Linked DNA regions of Astyanax mexicanus. The protein of the gene in region 1 interacts with the protein of each later gene in a biochemical or structural test. Links are inferred from orthologs where the notes say so. Each region holds a gene or a part of one and is shown on either strand. Other genes may lie near its edges.

What was found. The genes of interacting proteins can lie anywhere in the genome.
Region 2: the proteins of ocrl (region 1) and rab8a form a complex in vitro, tested with the Homo sapiens proteins (2 studies listed by BioGRID and IntAct, with this or other methods). The link is inferred for Astyanax mexicanus from reciprocal best matches to the Homo sapiens genes OCRL and RAB8A.

Annotation. Positions count from the first base shown.
Region 1 is NC_064417.1:49,199,207-49,207,515, forward strand, and holds the start of ocrl (inositol polyphosphate 5-phosphatase OCRL), read right to left. Parts: upstream 3,392-8,309; 5' UTR 2,753-3,391; coding exon 2,711-2,752; intron 620-2,710; coding exon 540-619; intron 1-539. Other genes in the region: si:ch73-335m24.2 (protein eva-1 homolog C), read right to left, coding at 6,977-7,374. UniProt on the Homo sapiens protein: Catalyzes the hydrolysis of the 5-position phosphate of phosphatidylinositol 4,5-bisphosphate (PtdIns(4,5)P2) and phosphatidylinositol-3,4,5-bisphosphate (PtdIns(3,4,5)P3), with the greatest catalytic activity towards PtdIns(4,5)P2.
Region 2 is NC_064411.1:48,023,321-48,031,906, forward strand, and holds the start of rab8a (ras-related protein Rab-8A), read right to left. Parts: upstream 3,672-8,586; 5' UTR 3,606-3,671; coding exon 3,482-3,605; intron 1,217-3,481; coding exon 1,156-1,216; intron 551-1,155; coding exon 490-550; intron 1-489. Other genes in the region: tpm4b (tropomyosin 4b), read right to left, coding at 7,692-7,774. UniProt on the Homo sapiens protein: The small GTPases Rab are key regulators of intracellular membrane trafficking, from the formation of transport vesicles to their fusion with membranes.

The DNA.
Region 1 (8,309 bases):
GGGTGGAATGCAGGATAATGGGCAGCATGCTGGCAGGCCGGAACGCCACTCTCCCTCTCTCAGACTCTCTCACACACAGCCTGTACAACCCTGAAAACATGACTGGTAAACACACTCTGCCTCAGTGCACAATCGTCCAAAGAGTTTTAACACATCCATAGTGATCAGTTTCTTAGTTCCACACTTCCACACTGAAGCAAAACCTTCACAGCTTGAGATAAACTTGTTTTAAGGCCAAAATAGAGTGTGTGAAAGTAATAAGCCACTTAGAAATAGCTATATACATAAATAGGGAACTTTAAAAGCAAATCTAAAGAAAATATGCTTATCAGACTGCTTAATAGTATTAATATACAGAACAGAACACAACACAACACGCACAAGCAAAACAGATACAAATTGTACAGAAATGTACAAAAAAACTCATAGCTGCTCATATAATACACAATAAAAGGTTTCTACACAGAGCTGGAGATTTTTTGCATTTAATATCAGGAGAAAGAAAAATGAAAGACAATTTAAATCAGATAGATACTCACGTAAACTGTCCCGAGCGCTCCAGTAACGAGAGGAGTCTTGGTTCTCGCTGGCCAGCCCTCAGCTCATGCCCCCTCACCGTCTAAGCATTGCAATTAAGGAGTCAAAGGCATGCGGTGGAAGATAAAAGGAAAAATGTAGAGGGGAGATTTACAGAAAAGCTGATATGTTTAACACCTGACTGATCATCAGTGCTCCTCTAGTAGGGTTAGACTGGTCCTAAAGGAATATTACACTGGAAATAGGTCTGTTTTTATAATACATCTTAGTTTGTTTATTTCTGCAGTAGAAATTAACGTAATTAACAATGTTATTATACAGTTTAAAAACACTTTAGGCCACTGATATAAAATATATTTTTGGCCCATTTCCAAAATTTTACATATTTATAACTTACATAGAGACTAGGCATCACAGTAAAACTTTCTAACTTTAAAATGAATAAAAATACATACAAATTGGATTAAATCAATGTATTTTAAAGTAGTGGGGCCAGTGTCAACTGGATACTGAAGTCATTCAGACTATGAAGGAACACGTACGGAATCATGTAGTAACTTAAAAGTGTTAAAAAAATAAATAAATAAATAAATAAATAAATACTAAACTACTTTAGATGCTCTTATCCAGGGTGCTGTTAACTTGCGATTTCTGGCGCTGGAAACACTGATGAACTATCTCTCTTAATTCTTGCACTTCCTTTCATGGGGTGGCCCTGATGAGAGCCAGTTCAATCATAACTGCACTCGAGTAGACTTTTAAAGATCTTAAAATGTTTCGGATTCTAATAAAAAAATTGGTCACAAAAAAAAAAAGAAATGTTTCGGATTGACTGAGCTGGTATGTGTCTCTGTATGTTGAAGAGTCTGACTGCCTGGTGGAAGAAACTGTTCCAGAGTCTAGTGGTGGAGGCTCGGACGGTCTGTTATCTTCAGAGCGAAAATTCACAATGCTGAAGGCTTTGCGGATGCAGCGTGTGGTGTAGATGTCAGTGATGGAGGGGAGTGAGACTCCAATGATCTTCTCAGCTGTCTTCACTATCCGCTGTAGGGTCTCGTGATCCGAGATGTTACAGTTCCCAAACCAGACATTAACGCAGACACTCAAGATGCTCTCTTTAGTATAGGAAGTAGAGGCGCTACTGGGCTTTCTTGGTTTTGGAGCTGGTGTTGAGGGACCAGGTGAGGTTCTCTGCAATGTGAACAAGCAGAGTTGCAACAGCTTCTTTCACCAGGCATTCAGACTCCTCAACTCACAGAGAGATGAAGCTGATGTTGTCTATTGTATTGTTGTTCCATGTTGCATCATGGTTCCTGATGAACATAATTTTGCACCTGTCTTCAGATGTAATGATAATAAAAGCATTTTAACTTCACTCTCTTGGTATTTCTTAGTACTCTAAACTTAGGGTGTGCCATATCGCATCATACGCAATAATATCACCAACATTTTTGAATATCGTGAACGATATTATACCCTGAAATACTGTGCCATATCACCCACCCCTATTTATCACATCAGGGTACTATTTGTTTGCTGTTCTTAGCAAACATAAAATTCACACTGTTCTCATTTCCCATTATATATCTACTAGAGAGTACTAAAGATCATATCTGTGCAGTAGTGTTTATCCTGGATATATGGAGATATTTGGAGAAGTGCATTACTAGTATCATGACATTCTGGATCATTGACTTCTGTTGCAAATCTGATAAAACTCGTATTTTTTTTTAAATATCTCAGTTAGGGGTGTGCTGTATCATATTGTATGCAATAATACATTTAAATATTCATTTTGTTGCAGTAGTGCATTCTTTATATACGTTATTATTTTTATTTAATGTTTTTGTCATATGGCTAAACAATAATAGGCTAGATAGATAGATAGATAGATAGATAGATAGATAGATAGATAGATAGATAGATAGATAGATAGATAGATAGATAGATAGATAAAACTAGGACGTGATAACTAACTAGATAACTGAACAGATCTAAATTGATCTATTCAGTTAAAATAACCTAAACCTACATAATTAACTAACTTAACCAACTTGTTAGCTAGCTAGTTGGATTGTTTATAAATCTATATGCAGCTTGTTAGCTACACTAGCCTCAGTAAGCAGAGTCAGAGCTTTTTTTTAAACCGAAATTAAACCATTTTAAAGGATACAGTCAGACATTTCTCCTCGCAGAGATCCAGAGAAGAATCCATACTTTAGCTCTGTTGTCACTTAGTTCGCTTTACTCCATTAATCTCCTGTTTCTCCGGTCAGGTTAGCAGGCTGTGCTGCTGCAGCTGCAGCTTTTCCTCCCACTGTTTTTCCTCCAGTCCTCCGGTTATTCCTCCGGTTAGTCCTCCAGTCCCCGCCCCAGAATGTTCACCCGTGTCGGCCGGCCTTCAGCCCGAGATACCGGCTCAGCGAGACGCTGTTAGACGCTGTACGCGGAGCTAGCTAGCCTAACTAGCTATGCTAACTAACTAACTCACCGGGCCACGACCCTCTCCTTCCCCAAATCTCCTCAATAAACCACAAAGATTAGTTGTTAATTCAGCTAATTTCGTGTCAACCCGATAAAAAAACTGTTCCCCCGCGAGTTCAGAGACCGGAGAACCGACTCCCCGCAGCTTTAGTATAAAAACAGACACACTAACGACTTCACCCCGACTCTCAAACCGCCGCTTAACAAGCCGAACCGTCCCCAGAACCCTCCAGCCGGACAGCGGTAGCCCCGGTCCTCAGGCTCTCTCAGCGCCGGACTGTCCGCGCCGCCGCCCCGCCAGCTGTCCGCAGCCTCAGCGCTGCATGTTAGTTAGCGTTAGCATTAGCTTTAGCTTTAGCATCGCTGCTCCACATCAGCGTGAGAAAACCGCAGGGCCAAGCGGGCGGAGCGTCTGGACACACCACACTGCGCAGAATGTGCGCATACTGAGCCCTTAAGGTCACATTAAAATAAAAAGAAATAAAAATAGTAATAATAACAATGCGTGGCCACGAATTATTACGGCGTGGAAACGACATTAAGTTGTGGGGACGGCTTATATGGCCAGAACTTAATTATCTAATTCCCACGCCTTAATAATGCGTGGCCACAACTTATTAAGGTGTGGCATCAAGATAATTAAGCTGTGGGGATGGCTTATCAACGTATAGGAACTGGATAATTTAGTCGTGGGGACCACTTATATGGCCAACGACCTAATAAGTAATCCCCTTGACTTAATACGTTGCCCCATGACTTATTATCTCATTCCCTCAATTAAGTGGTGGGAATGATTTATTAAGGTGTGGGAACAACTTATAAAAGTGTGGGAATGAGATAATTAGATCCTGGCCAAATAATCCTGCAACTTAATTATCTCGTTCCCACGCCTTAATGAGTCATCCCCACGACTTTGCCTTAATAACCCCCAACTTAATGATCTTGCCCCCATAATTAAGTCGTGTGGTCACTTATAAAGGTGTAGGAACAAGAATATTAAGTGGTGGGGATGACTTATTAAAGTGTGGGGAAACTTAATTGTCTCGTTCCTATGCCTTATGCCTTAAGTCATCCCCAAGATTATTATTAATTATTAACCCATCTAAATAAGTCCCAAATTATTTATCTCATTCAATGGCTTGATTAAATGGATGAACTTATTAAGGCGTGGGAAGGAGATCATTAAGTCCTGACCATATATGTTGTCGCCATAATTTAATTATCTTGTCCCCACAATTAAATCATGGGGTGACTTATTAAGGTGTGGGAACCAGATAATTAAGTGGTGGGGATTCGTCCCCACAACTTCATTATCTCCTTTTCACCTTAAAAATAGCCCCCACACCCCACTACCATTATTTTAGTGTAATTCAAAGGTGTAATAAACTTGTGACAGTAAGAAATTCTTAGTAAGCAGGTTCTTTCAAACAACAGTAGCAAAAATATAAGATAAGATCATCTAAAAACTGCAGCAAAAATGGAAATGATTCACAGTTTGAATCATTAATGACAGTTATTACTGTCACACTGTAACAAAACAAATGACCATGATTCAATAAATAAAATTAAAATATTAGTCAGCTGATTAAAATGCTGCCTTTATAAATGATAGATAGAAACCATTTAATGATGACTTTCAATGATGTACAAACAAGTTCAGACCACGCCTATATGTTTTTTATGATTATAAATATATAGACAAATAAAAGTTTCAGTTTCAGTTCTGTACAGTTTACTATAGAACAGTGTTCAGTCTGTGTTAAATGGAGAAGCCTCCCTCTGCTGGCCAAACACAAATCATATGATCAATTTTAGAATAAGCAAATTAATCTGTCTGCAAAACACACCACAAAATATTCTGACAAAAACATACTGCCATATATTACATGTTTTAAATGTATTTATTATGTCTGTACATTTTACAAAAAAACATTACAAGAAACGCATTAGACTTTCATCTCTTAGAAATAAAACCTGTATAATAAGAAAAACTTTTGAATTGATGCTGAATTGATGGAACATTGCATAACCATGTAGCTTTTGTTGAGTATTGTAGATTAATGTTAAAGTAAAACCATAGCATACAATTACACCATAGCAAATTGTCTTTATGTGAGAAACTCCTTATATTAATGAGTATATATATACTGACCTCCATAATATTTGTTATAAAGGCATTTTCCTCTGCTCCATTGAAAAAAATCTGACTAATTAGACATGATTAAATATACATTCAATTTTTTTTTTATTTAAGAGTATAATTTTGCATACATTACTTATTATTTACTGTGTTTAAATTACAGGGCCATTCCACAGAATCGGTGCCATTTCTGTCCTTAGGAAATTACATATATAAATGTGCGCCCGAAATAGCTTTAAAATACATTTTATTATTAAAAATAGCGTCTTGTACATTGACCTAATTGCAAAAGTAAAATGTGAAATTAAAAACATTAATAAAAACTACTTAGAACACTGAAAAAAAAGCATTTGTTACCTGTCCCCACTCTCTAACTATAAACTTTACCATGAAATATAATTATTAAAATCCCTCAGAGATGTTTTTTTTTTTTGCATTGTTGTGTGAATCCAAATCCCACCTATGCTTTAAAATGTTTTTTTTTTTTCATAATGAATTCATAATGTTTAAGTTAAAATACACATTTTAGAGTAGTTGTGTCTCTGGGTTTCACTCAGTCCTGAGTCTGGAACATTCTACAACAGGAAGTGACATCAGCTGTTTTTTCTGAAGATCACAGGAAGACCAAAATTAATTTCACTCATTAGTTTTTCTGTATATTTGATCTTATTGTAACGATAACTGAGAGTTCAATCTCAACACTCAGTCCTGTTACCTAAATTAATTTTTAGATTTTATTTGTTTATTCTTAAAATACACATTTTTGGAAAATCACTAGAATGTGCTCAATTCCCTCGTGCTATTAGCATAGCCACTATTTAGCTATTTTTCATGTTTTTGCAAATTCTATGCTATAAACTATTTCCTGTTACTTTAATTTCTGTTTCAGCTCAACATTAGGCTTAAAGAAATATAGAATTCAGAATGGTGGTGAAAGTCTAATAGTCTAGTCTTCAATAAATAATTTAACAAAACAATAATAACTGGGGCATCCCAGTACTACTTCTCAGTATTATACAAGTCAACCTTACCATAATTAGTACAGAGGGAAGTCCATTGCTAACTTCTGGTGTCAGTAAATCATACAAAAACGAAACACAAACATCTAATAACGTTATTTGTTGTATTAACAATGCCAGACTAGCTAACCTACCCTGCACCTGGGAAAAGATTCCCATTTAGATATTTTTCATGGTTTTGCAAATTCTATCCAAAAAATCATTCCTGTTACTCAAAACATACAAAGTAACAGGACTAAGTGACAGTAACAGGAGTGAGTGCCAGTAACAGAAGTGAGTGCCAGTAACAGAAATGAGTGCCATTACCAGGAATGATTCTTTTGTCATAAATATCAATAATTTGAACATGCAACTATTTCTTTAACATAAAGACATTAAAGAAAAATTCAAGGAATAAGTGTTTTTTTCTAATGTAAACAAGCTTTTTATATGTCACAGGAGTTTTGTAACTATCTTCAGATTAGAAACCGTGTAAAACTTAAGTAAAGCTGCCTGAGTTTGACCAATACATGTTTTGAATAGTTTAATACGCATTATTCAATTTAGAGTTGAAAATTATATATATATATATATTTTTAAAAAAAGTTTAATTTGGAAGAGTTACAACTAGAAATGGCACCCGTTCAGTGGAATGGACCTACACTTTTTTTTACATTTTTTAATTCATTTCAGAGCACCATAATGTTTGTGACATTTGGCTTCACTCAGGTTTGTTCCATTGCTTCATTAATGCAGGAATAAGATAATTAGATTTAGTCTGTTGTTAGTAAAGTTGCTTTTTGTTCAGATTTGAGTCTCAGGTAGAAGAAGCCGTGGTTTTGTGGAAGGCGTAAGGGCTGGAGTTACAGTGCGGCCAGAGGTCTCCGTTCGGCAGTTCTGCTCTGTCCCTGTCCTCCTCCGTCCTTTTGTCCTCCATCACCACAGTCATGACCATCTCTGGACTGAGCATGTCTGCGGCGCGGTAGGAGCGAGTGAGGTGACGAAAGCCGGAGTCCAGAGAAGAATAATCGTCATCAAAGTCCTCGATCAGTCCCCTGCGGGACCTGCGGGCGGCCTTCAGCTCGTCCTCCAGCTCAGACACCAGGTCCTTCACGTCCCGCACCAGAGTGGACTTCAGCCCGAACAGACACAGCAGGAACACCAGGCCGGCGCAGATTCCCGACACGAAGTACAGAGCCACCGTCTCCGGGAGACCTTAGAGAATAGAAAAGAAGAAGAAAGAAGAAAGATCGAACATTTCCAGACTGATTTATTCACTCTATCCATCATATAAAGAATGATCAGACTTGTGGAATTGTGGAAGGATGACACACTCAAGAAAAACAAGAAGAATTTTTTTATTTATATTCACTTTTAATAGCAAAAGTCTATAAATCTTGACTCTGCTCCATTTGACTAATTGGAAATGTGACATAAATTTAATTAAGCTTATATGATGATTTATCTTTCACAGTACACAGAGCTTTCATTTGTTTCACACAGAGCTGAAAAGTAGTCTTGGGACACTTTCTGAATACAGTTTAGTTTATGCCTTTATGTGTTAATGTGTGTGTGGAACAAAAATCTAAAATATAAAAAAACATTAAAATAAATCTCTTTATATACAGCTCCAGAAAAAACATAAAGAGACTATATAAAATGATCAATTATTCTAAATGTCTATTTATTGGTATACTGTATGTTTGAGTAAAATGAATATAGTTGTTCAATTCTATATACTACCAACAATATTTTTGTTGCCATTCTTTTTGTAGGTCACTTGACGTCATCCTGCTGTTGCTGACTGATTCAAATAAGTTGACGGTCAATCTTCAGATCCGAACCCCATTCAAAACCTCTAAATATAATCAAAAGGAGGTGGACGACCACCAGGAGTAAAGGCATAAAGTTACCCAAAAGCAGTGTGTAAGACTGGTGGAGGAGAACATGTTGCCAAGATGCATGAAAGCCATGATTAAAAATCAGGGTTATTCCACCAAATATTGATTTCTGAACTCTTAAAATTTTATAAATATGAACTTTTTTTTTGTGCATTATTTGAGGTCTGCAAGCTCTGCATCTTTTTTCTTTTTGGACTATTTCTGATTTTCTGCGAATAAATGCTCTAAATAGCAATATTTTTATTTGGA
Region 2 (8,586 bases), on another chromosome or scaffold:
AGTACAGGCATGACTGACTGACGTAAATAAGATTAAACGGGGGAGCATGCCTAGGTGTTATTTTTGGAAGTTTAATGTTGCAATTAGTGGTGGGCAATAAGGCCCTAAAATAATATCATATACATATGATGTATATATCAGGCTATTACTGTGAGAAATACTAATACTACTAATCGTAATAATAAAATAAATGTTAATTTTTTATTTAGTGTAACAGTTTTTAACATTCAGTAGAAACAGTAATGTAAAATTGAAAAGACAAGATGAAGAATAATAATAAAACAAAATTAATTGTGTAACAAACAAAAATGAAGCCAGAATATTAATGCATGCATATTAACTGCAAACAGATACAATTGAACACAAAGATAAATTGAAGCTCCACACATATCGCAAAACAAATACAAAATAGACTGCTTTCAAGACAAAATATCACTACTACATAAAATGATATGGCATACCCTTATTTGCAATACATCAATAACTCACCATCGCCCCTCTGTAATATGCCGTTGTGATTGTTCGGAACCGTTCCTGTCCTGCCGTGTCCCTACAAAACCCAAATAAAAATGTTATAACAAACCAGGAGAGGCTTCTATGGCTTAAATATGATTGCTACACTAAACAATGTCAACTAGAAAAATGCTGTGAGTTAATATTTACACTCTACTTGCTTAAATTACGATTTAGAAATGAATCATTAAGCATAATTTATCACGTTCTCAATTTACTACCTTTACAACTGTTACTATATTCACAAACCTGCTGTTTTCCAGCTGAAAGATATGAGCCGTCCAGGCCTAGGATAGTAACGTTAGTTGAGGTAACTTGAACTGCACTACTGAGGCATCTCCATAAACTAGTCATGCTTTCTTTGTAATAAAACTTGCTGTGATCATTTTTCACAATAACAAATCATCTTGCACTGCCCAAGAATCTACAAGAATTACAAGAATCTACCTTCTGGTAGTTCTGGTTACGTTTATTATGGAAAATGGTTGGGAATTAGGTAGGCATTCCATTACACGTTCAGTGAAGATTAGCTGAAGCTCTTGGCACTTTTGTTTTGTTTAAATGCTTTTCCACAAACACCACTTTCACTAGACAAAGGAAAGTACGACAAAAAGCTTGTGAAACAAAGGTTCAGCAACATACCATATCTGTAACTTGATCTTCTTTCCATCTAACTCTATCGTCCTTATCTTGAAGTCAATACCTGTAAGAAGGTAAACACAGCAGGCATCACTTGAGAGTAAATATAGAGTTTCTAATTTGCTCTAGTTTCTTCAGCAAGTATAAATGACTGAGCAAAATGGTTAATGTAAGCATTAGGCAGACATTTACTTCCTCTCTGGTTGACCATAATGAGACAGTGGCTGACTATGTGTGTTCAAGACATCTACACAGACTGCAGACCAGACAAAAGCATAATTGCCAAACGTTATATTAATGAAAAATATAGAACATGTTAACATATAAATATTTGTTATGAACAACAAACCAAAATACTGATATGCTGTAACACTACAAGGGTTAATACAGACTTACTTAATACATAATAATGATAATAATAAGGGTTAATACATACTTTGAATAAATTAGAATACACTGTTAGCTCAGTTTAACAAGCCACTGTTGTAATAAACCATTCCCTTAGCTGAATTTAAACCAAGTTAAACAAGCCATTCTCACTATTTAATAAATTGTTCCCACAATTTATGTTTCCACAATTTAATTATTAAGCATTCCCCAAAATGAAAACTAATATTATCTTTGTGCCTCAATTAGTATAAGACAAGAAATGTTTTCTGAATTAAATAATTCCCCCCTCGATTTACCACCTATTCTCCCAATTTAATAAATTGTTCCCTCAGTTTACCATCCATTCTCCCAGTTTAATACATGGTTCCCTAAATGTAGGTTAATAAATTGTTCCCGGATTTTACCATCCATTCTCCCAATTTAATAACTTATTCCCTCAATGTAGGTTAATAAATTGTTCTCTCAGTTTACTATCCACCCTCTCAATTTAATACATTCTTTCCTCAGTGTACCATCTATACTCCCAATTTAAGAAATCATTCCCTCAATGTTGGTTAATAAATTATTTTCTCAGTTTACCATCCATTCTTCCAATTAAATAAATTGTTCCCTCAATGTACGTTAAAAAATGTTCCCTCTGATTACTATCCATTCTACCTACTGAATAATTTGTCCCCCCATTGTATCATCCATTCTTCCAATTTAATAAATTGTTCAATTAGTTTACTATCCGTTGTCCCAATTTAATAAAATGTTCCCTCATTTTACCATACATTCTTCCAATTTAATCAAATGTTTCCTCAGTTTGCCATCCATTCGCCAAATTTAATTTATTTTTCTCTCAACATAGATTAATAAATTGTTCCCTAGCTATCTACAGTTTAGAGGGGGCGCCTTAGTGTAAACTGAAAACAATGTATTAATTTGAAGGAACGATTTATTAAACTAAATAACCTTTAAATAGTACTTGTTGATACTGTAGGAGTTAAGTTTAGTCTGTTTAGACACAGATCAACACCAGTAACAATCAATACACAGCTGTAAACAGACTGTTGAACGACAAACACGGAGTTTAACTGCGTAATTTTACAGGAACGCCTTTGGCATAGAGGTTTGTTAACCACTAAGTTATATTAAATGACTAACAGCTTATCTAACCTAGTTAGCATAGCTAGCTAACCACATACTGCTTACTCACAGCCACTGCTCTAGCTAGCTGGTTAGCTTAGCTTAGCTTAGCTAACGTAAAGACTAGCAAGCTTGATGGTGAATAACTAGGTTAGCTAGCTAACAAGATAGCTAGGCTAGCAGGTCGTGTTGCTAACCAGCCTGCTAATGCGGCATTTTCCTCCAATTATGTGGTTAAATTTAACGTTACTCATTTTATGTATAGATGAAATATTGATCCATAATCACACTACGTTACGTTAGCTAGCTAGCTTTTAATTTGTAAATCAGATAGCTAGGTTAACTAACGCTAGCTAATGCTAACAGGCTACCATCACGAAGCCACGCAGCTTCCCGTTCGAATTTAATTCCACCTTAAAATCGCGCAGCACACGTTCAAACGTCCGAGCAGGCGCCTCCCAATGTAACCGCTAAACTGCTGCGCTTTTTAAGGTGGAACTGAGAAATTAGAACAGCCTCTTCTACTCTGAATATCCCGTGTGTATACTAGGCTGTAATAAGAGTCGTTTATTGAAATTAAACCAAGCTGACACTTTGACAAAGCTAAAAATAAGATATAAAAGGGTTAAAACAGATAAAATACAGACGAAGAATTAAAAAACAGAGCAGATAGAGAGATATTTAACCTAGCTAGCGTTTGCTAACGTTACCGGCAAAGCGAAAGAAAGTGTAGCTAGCTGCTAAAGCTAACGCAGATCCTGTCAGCCTGTCATTGGAGCTTCCTGGACAAAAACAACTGGAATAAATGTACCTATCGTGGAGATAAACGTTGAGTTAAAGGCATCCTCTGAGAATCTGAACAGCACGCAGGTCTTCCCAACTCCCGAGTCCCCGATTAACAGTAGTTTAAACAAATAATCGTAAGTCTTCGCCATACTTGATATTGCGGAAATCCCGCCCGGTAACTGAGCGCCGCGTAGACACACGGCGGTAATGAGCACACACCCGCCCCCTTCTCACTCCATACACACACTCACACATACACACTTTAACACACACATTTACACACACACACACACACACTCTTTCTGCTAATAGATAGCCACTTAAAATACCTCAATACATTGGTTCTCGAACACATCTTATACCATGTACCACCCACAATCAGACTAAAATTCAAAGAACCACCCAAAAGTCATCCACAGGATACACTAGTGCATCTCAAAAATTGATAAAATCATTGAAAAGTTACTTTATTTCAGTAATTCAGTTTAAAATATGAAACTCATATAATATTAAGATGTATTACACACAGAAAAATCTATTTTAAGCATTTATTTATTTTATGGCTTACAGCCTATAAAAACCCAAAAGTCAGTGTGGGCAGTGTGCCAAGTCCTGCTGCAAAATGATATTGTGTCTGCTCCAGGGAGTCCTAATCTATTGACAGTACTTCTTTAGCCAATCTAGATAAGAGGAACTAGACTGGCAGGGACCTACTTCATGTTAGGTTAGGTCTTCTTCACACATGCTGTGACTGCTGCTCAACTTCATTGTAAGGATGATTCATAAAAGGGGAACTTTTTAAAAGATGCATTTAGGCAGTGGTTCTCAAACTGTGGTACCAAGGTGGTATACCACCAAATAAATGTTTTTTTATTTGTATCGAAAGCAAAAAATAGTACACGCTAATGCATGTGTGTACCAGGGGATGTCCAAATGGATCCCTGGATATAAAAAAAAATTGCCTGGTTTCACTGGAGAAAGTGACATACTGTACCTGTCAGATAAAAACAGAATTTTCTCCAAATGTCACAAACTTGAAAGTAAAAGTATGTTGATGGAACATTCCATTTCCATTCCATTACTGTTACTGTATTTCATGACATGATTTTCACACACAGTGGCCACTGGTAGCTACTCAAGCCCCCAAAAAAGTCCAAAGCATTGGTTTCAGAAACATATTTGGCTTCTCTGGATGTAGCTGGTAGGGTTTCCTTCTTATGACTCTTTTGGAATTGAAATACTGACGTCACAATGCATGCTCATGCATTCTGGCTCAATCTCAAATACCTAAACTACTCCATAAAAAACAATGTCTGCATGCTCATAGCAAAAAAAGTCAGATTTTGACATATGAGTAAGTATAAATACAGTTTTTTTATTACTAGGTAATGTGACTTGCACTGTACAGTACTTTGGGAGTAGTGTATAATTTTGAAGGAAACATATGTTTTAATTTTTCTTTAATGTGTGTTGATACTAACAGGGAAATGTTTTTTTATAAAAAAAAAAATGTAAATGTGTGTGGACATAGCCTCAGAATTTGTTTGTTTTCTAGAGCTCATTTTGACCACCACAGTTCCCTTGAACTGTCATTCCGTTAAAACATTCTGCACTGTACAAACCACAAGCTGAAATCATTGGCTACCTTCTGATAGCACTCAGTAAAAACACACAGTTTTGTGCAAAATTGTGTAAAATTTATTATTGTTTAAAAAAAAAATCAGTTTTGGCAAACAATTCTGGAAAGACTTTTATATGTGCAAGGGAAAAAAGAGGTGACAAAAAAAATTAGTGTTAAACTAAGCTGCATACTTGACATTTTATTGTAAATATGTTAATTAAATCCACATGATATATCATAAACCTTACTTGACAGTCAATTTAAGATCGATATGAGAGTGTTGAGACAAAAAAAACATGAAAAATAATGTTTGTGCTTATTTAAGACACATTTTGCAGAAATAAATAAAAAACGGAAAAGTGGAACAGATACAAATATGGAAAATGTTCCCAGATGTGGATGGTGACATCATTCAGATCTTTTCCAGGCGTTCAATGAAAAGTCACAACTTTCTAAAATAAAAGTAAGTCCTCTATTTGGCAGTGAGGGAGAATGTGTGAGAGGGTGTGGAGCCAAAATAGAGAACATGACTCAGACAATATAAGATAACAATACAATTTAACCACACACACACAAACACACACACACACACACACACACACACACACACACACACAGGAATGCTTGATGAGAAGTGTGGAATGTTGATTGCTGTCGGTATGTCTCCTCTTTGTGATGCTCACAAGCTGTTAAGCTCCTGCAGGGTTTGGTCCAGGACTTGGTGCAGATTCAGATTCTCCTGCTTTGAGTTGGCTATGCTCTCTGCAACAAACAGTCACATATGTTTAAAGGCTTTTTCAGTGCTAAACTTTGGCTTTTATTGTTGATATGTTTGTTTAGGGAAGCAGTGATACACTGAGACATTCAGGCGGATAAAGATATTTGAAATATTTATGTATTTAGTATATACACTATATTGCCAAAAGTATCTGCTTTCACTTGAAGGCCACATGAAGTTTGGAGGTGTGTTATGATTGACTGCAGAAAGTTGGTGACCCTTGTGCACTATGTTAGTCAGAATCACTTTATTTTACACTGACAGAGAGAGTTGCTGTCGTTCCCAGCCTCTTCCACTGTGTTATAATATCACTGACAGTTGTCTGTGGAATATTTATTATTAAGGAAATTTCTCGACTGTATTTTTGGCGATATAGTGTATCTAGGTATGTATTTATCAATGTCAGCATAATATGTAATAAGCACTAACTAAGCAATGATAAACAGCCCCAATAGAAATGCTGTAAAATTACTTGAAATAAAATCTTTTTATATTGACTACAATTAAAAACTAAGTAGTTTTTTCATTCTTCTTTTTTGAAAATAGCCAATTTGGAGAAACAGGGTTTTTGTGTGACTATGCTGATTTTTTATGTTTGTTTTATGTTTCATAAACCGTATTATGCCTCCTCAGATAATAGATCTCCACACTTGTGATATTATAATATCTTACTTTATGTTGCATTAGCTTTTGAAGAAAACATGAGTTTATTGAAATTTAATGTACTGGACTAAACATGCTGTAATTTTTTATTTGTAATAAGTGTAATACACACATTTTATATTATTATAGAACAGAATTCATGTTCATTAACAGTAGGCTGTGGTTGTTGTTTTTTTCTTTATATTTGTTCACAGTATTCTATATTTATTAGCAATATTCTAAGGCTGTGATGGAATTTGATCCTTTTTTACATTTTAGGGAAGCCCCAGTGTTATATAAACACTGTTAGTGTTAAATTAACACTGTGAGCAACCTTTATTTTTGTGTTAAATTAACATTAATAGTGTAAATCTAACACTGGCAGATTTGCTGTGTATGTTGCTCAGTGGCGTCCATCGTTCAGGATCATGGTGGTCTGGAATCAGTGAGTACAAGGAGGAAATACCCTCTGGACAGAGTGCCAGTCCATGACAGGGTAACACACATCTGGGGGTGATTTAGCATGTCCAATTTACCTACCATGTGTGTTTTTTGGAGGTGGGTGGAAAGGAAAGGCTCTTTCCAGACAGTGACCAAAAGCACTGTGGGTCAAAGAATGTTAAATACCTGCATGACTGGAGTGTGGAAATGGAATTTCCCATCCACCTTGCATCCACTATCAATTTCAAACTCCCATAATCCAGCATCACACACGAAATAACACCTCACAACTTATACAGGTATAGGAATTTCCAACCCATCCCTTGATGTATCACTTGATAAATGATAAATTTGTATATTGCTATATCATGACTTTTGAAATGTGAGTGTAAAAGTGTAGGAAAGGAAAAAATAAAGAGATAGAAAACTGATTAAAATAAACGGAAAAGCGCATGGATCATTAGATTTACTAATAATAACTTTATTAAAACTTTATCATTTAAGCCGGAACATAAAGGTAGCAGATTTCAGGCACAGAAAAAGAAATCAGGAGGAGGAAAAGATGAGGAACAGAAGAACAGAGGCACAGTAAGATGTGAACTGGGTCGCCAGCCTCACTTCTTAATGCTTCAGCAGCACCTGCATCTTCGCTATGCATATTTTATAGTGGAAAAAATAGATAAGGGGGGGTTTATAAGGCACTTATATCTTCCACCGGCAGTGGTGATAAAAGAGATAGTGAGGGAGGTTCATCTACATGGAGGTCATGTCATTTAGGGCGAGATCCAGCTCCTCAGTAATGGCCTTCACCCTCAGCTTTTGAGCGTACAGTTCATCTGGAGATCAGAAGGTCAGCAGAGGAAAGAGGTGCAGCAGCAGCAGAAGTAGGAGGAAGACCGGGAATAAAGAGAGAAAAGGAAATTAAGGAGAGAGTCAGAGATCAGAGAAGAAAGCAGGTGGAGGAAAAAGTTAAAGTGATACGCAGCTCATGCAAGAGTAAATAAAGCTATACATTTGTAGCGGAAATGCTTCATTACAATTCACCCTGAATTTGTCCTGAAAATAGTATAAGTTTCAAGTATGGGATAGTATTTCAACTCAAGCATTTAAAATCTTCTGCTACTGATACACTCCATCCATCCACATTTTTTTTCTATTTTTACTCCTGCCTTTTAAACAGTTTAAAATGCATATGATTGTTTATGTTAATCTGTAATTTTGTTTTATTCTTAATTTGTTTACATGTTTTTTATGTGTCAGACCTTTATCTGTTGGGGCCTCTCGGCCAGGTCATGTTTGTAAATCAGAACTGTTTCTCAAACATTTCACCTGCATAAAAAAATGCACTTTGTCTGTGTGAAAATGCCTGTAAATTATGCATTATATTTTTACTAGTGGCCTAAAGATAATCTGGCCTTTTAACATTAAGCCAATTAAGCTGATAAGTTGGTAATGCCACAACAGGAGGAGGGTCATATAGTCAAGAAGGTCCAAACCACTGATGACATTATGAGCCCTATTTTAGTGATCTAAAAGTGATTAATCATGGGTGTGTTTTGAATGTAACCTGAAATAAACCAATCAATGTGTCAGTTACCATTTCCTTGTAGAGTCAGGTTTGCTCTGACTTTGGCGGATTGCTATTTAA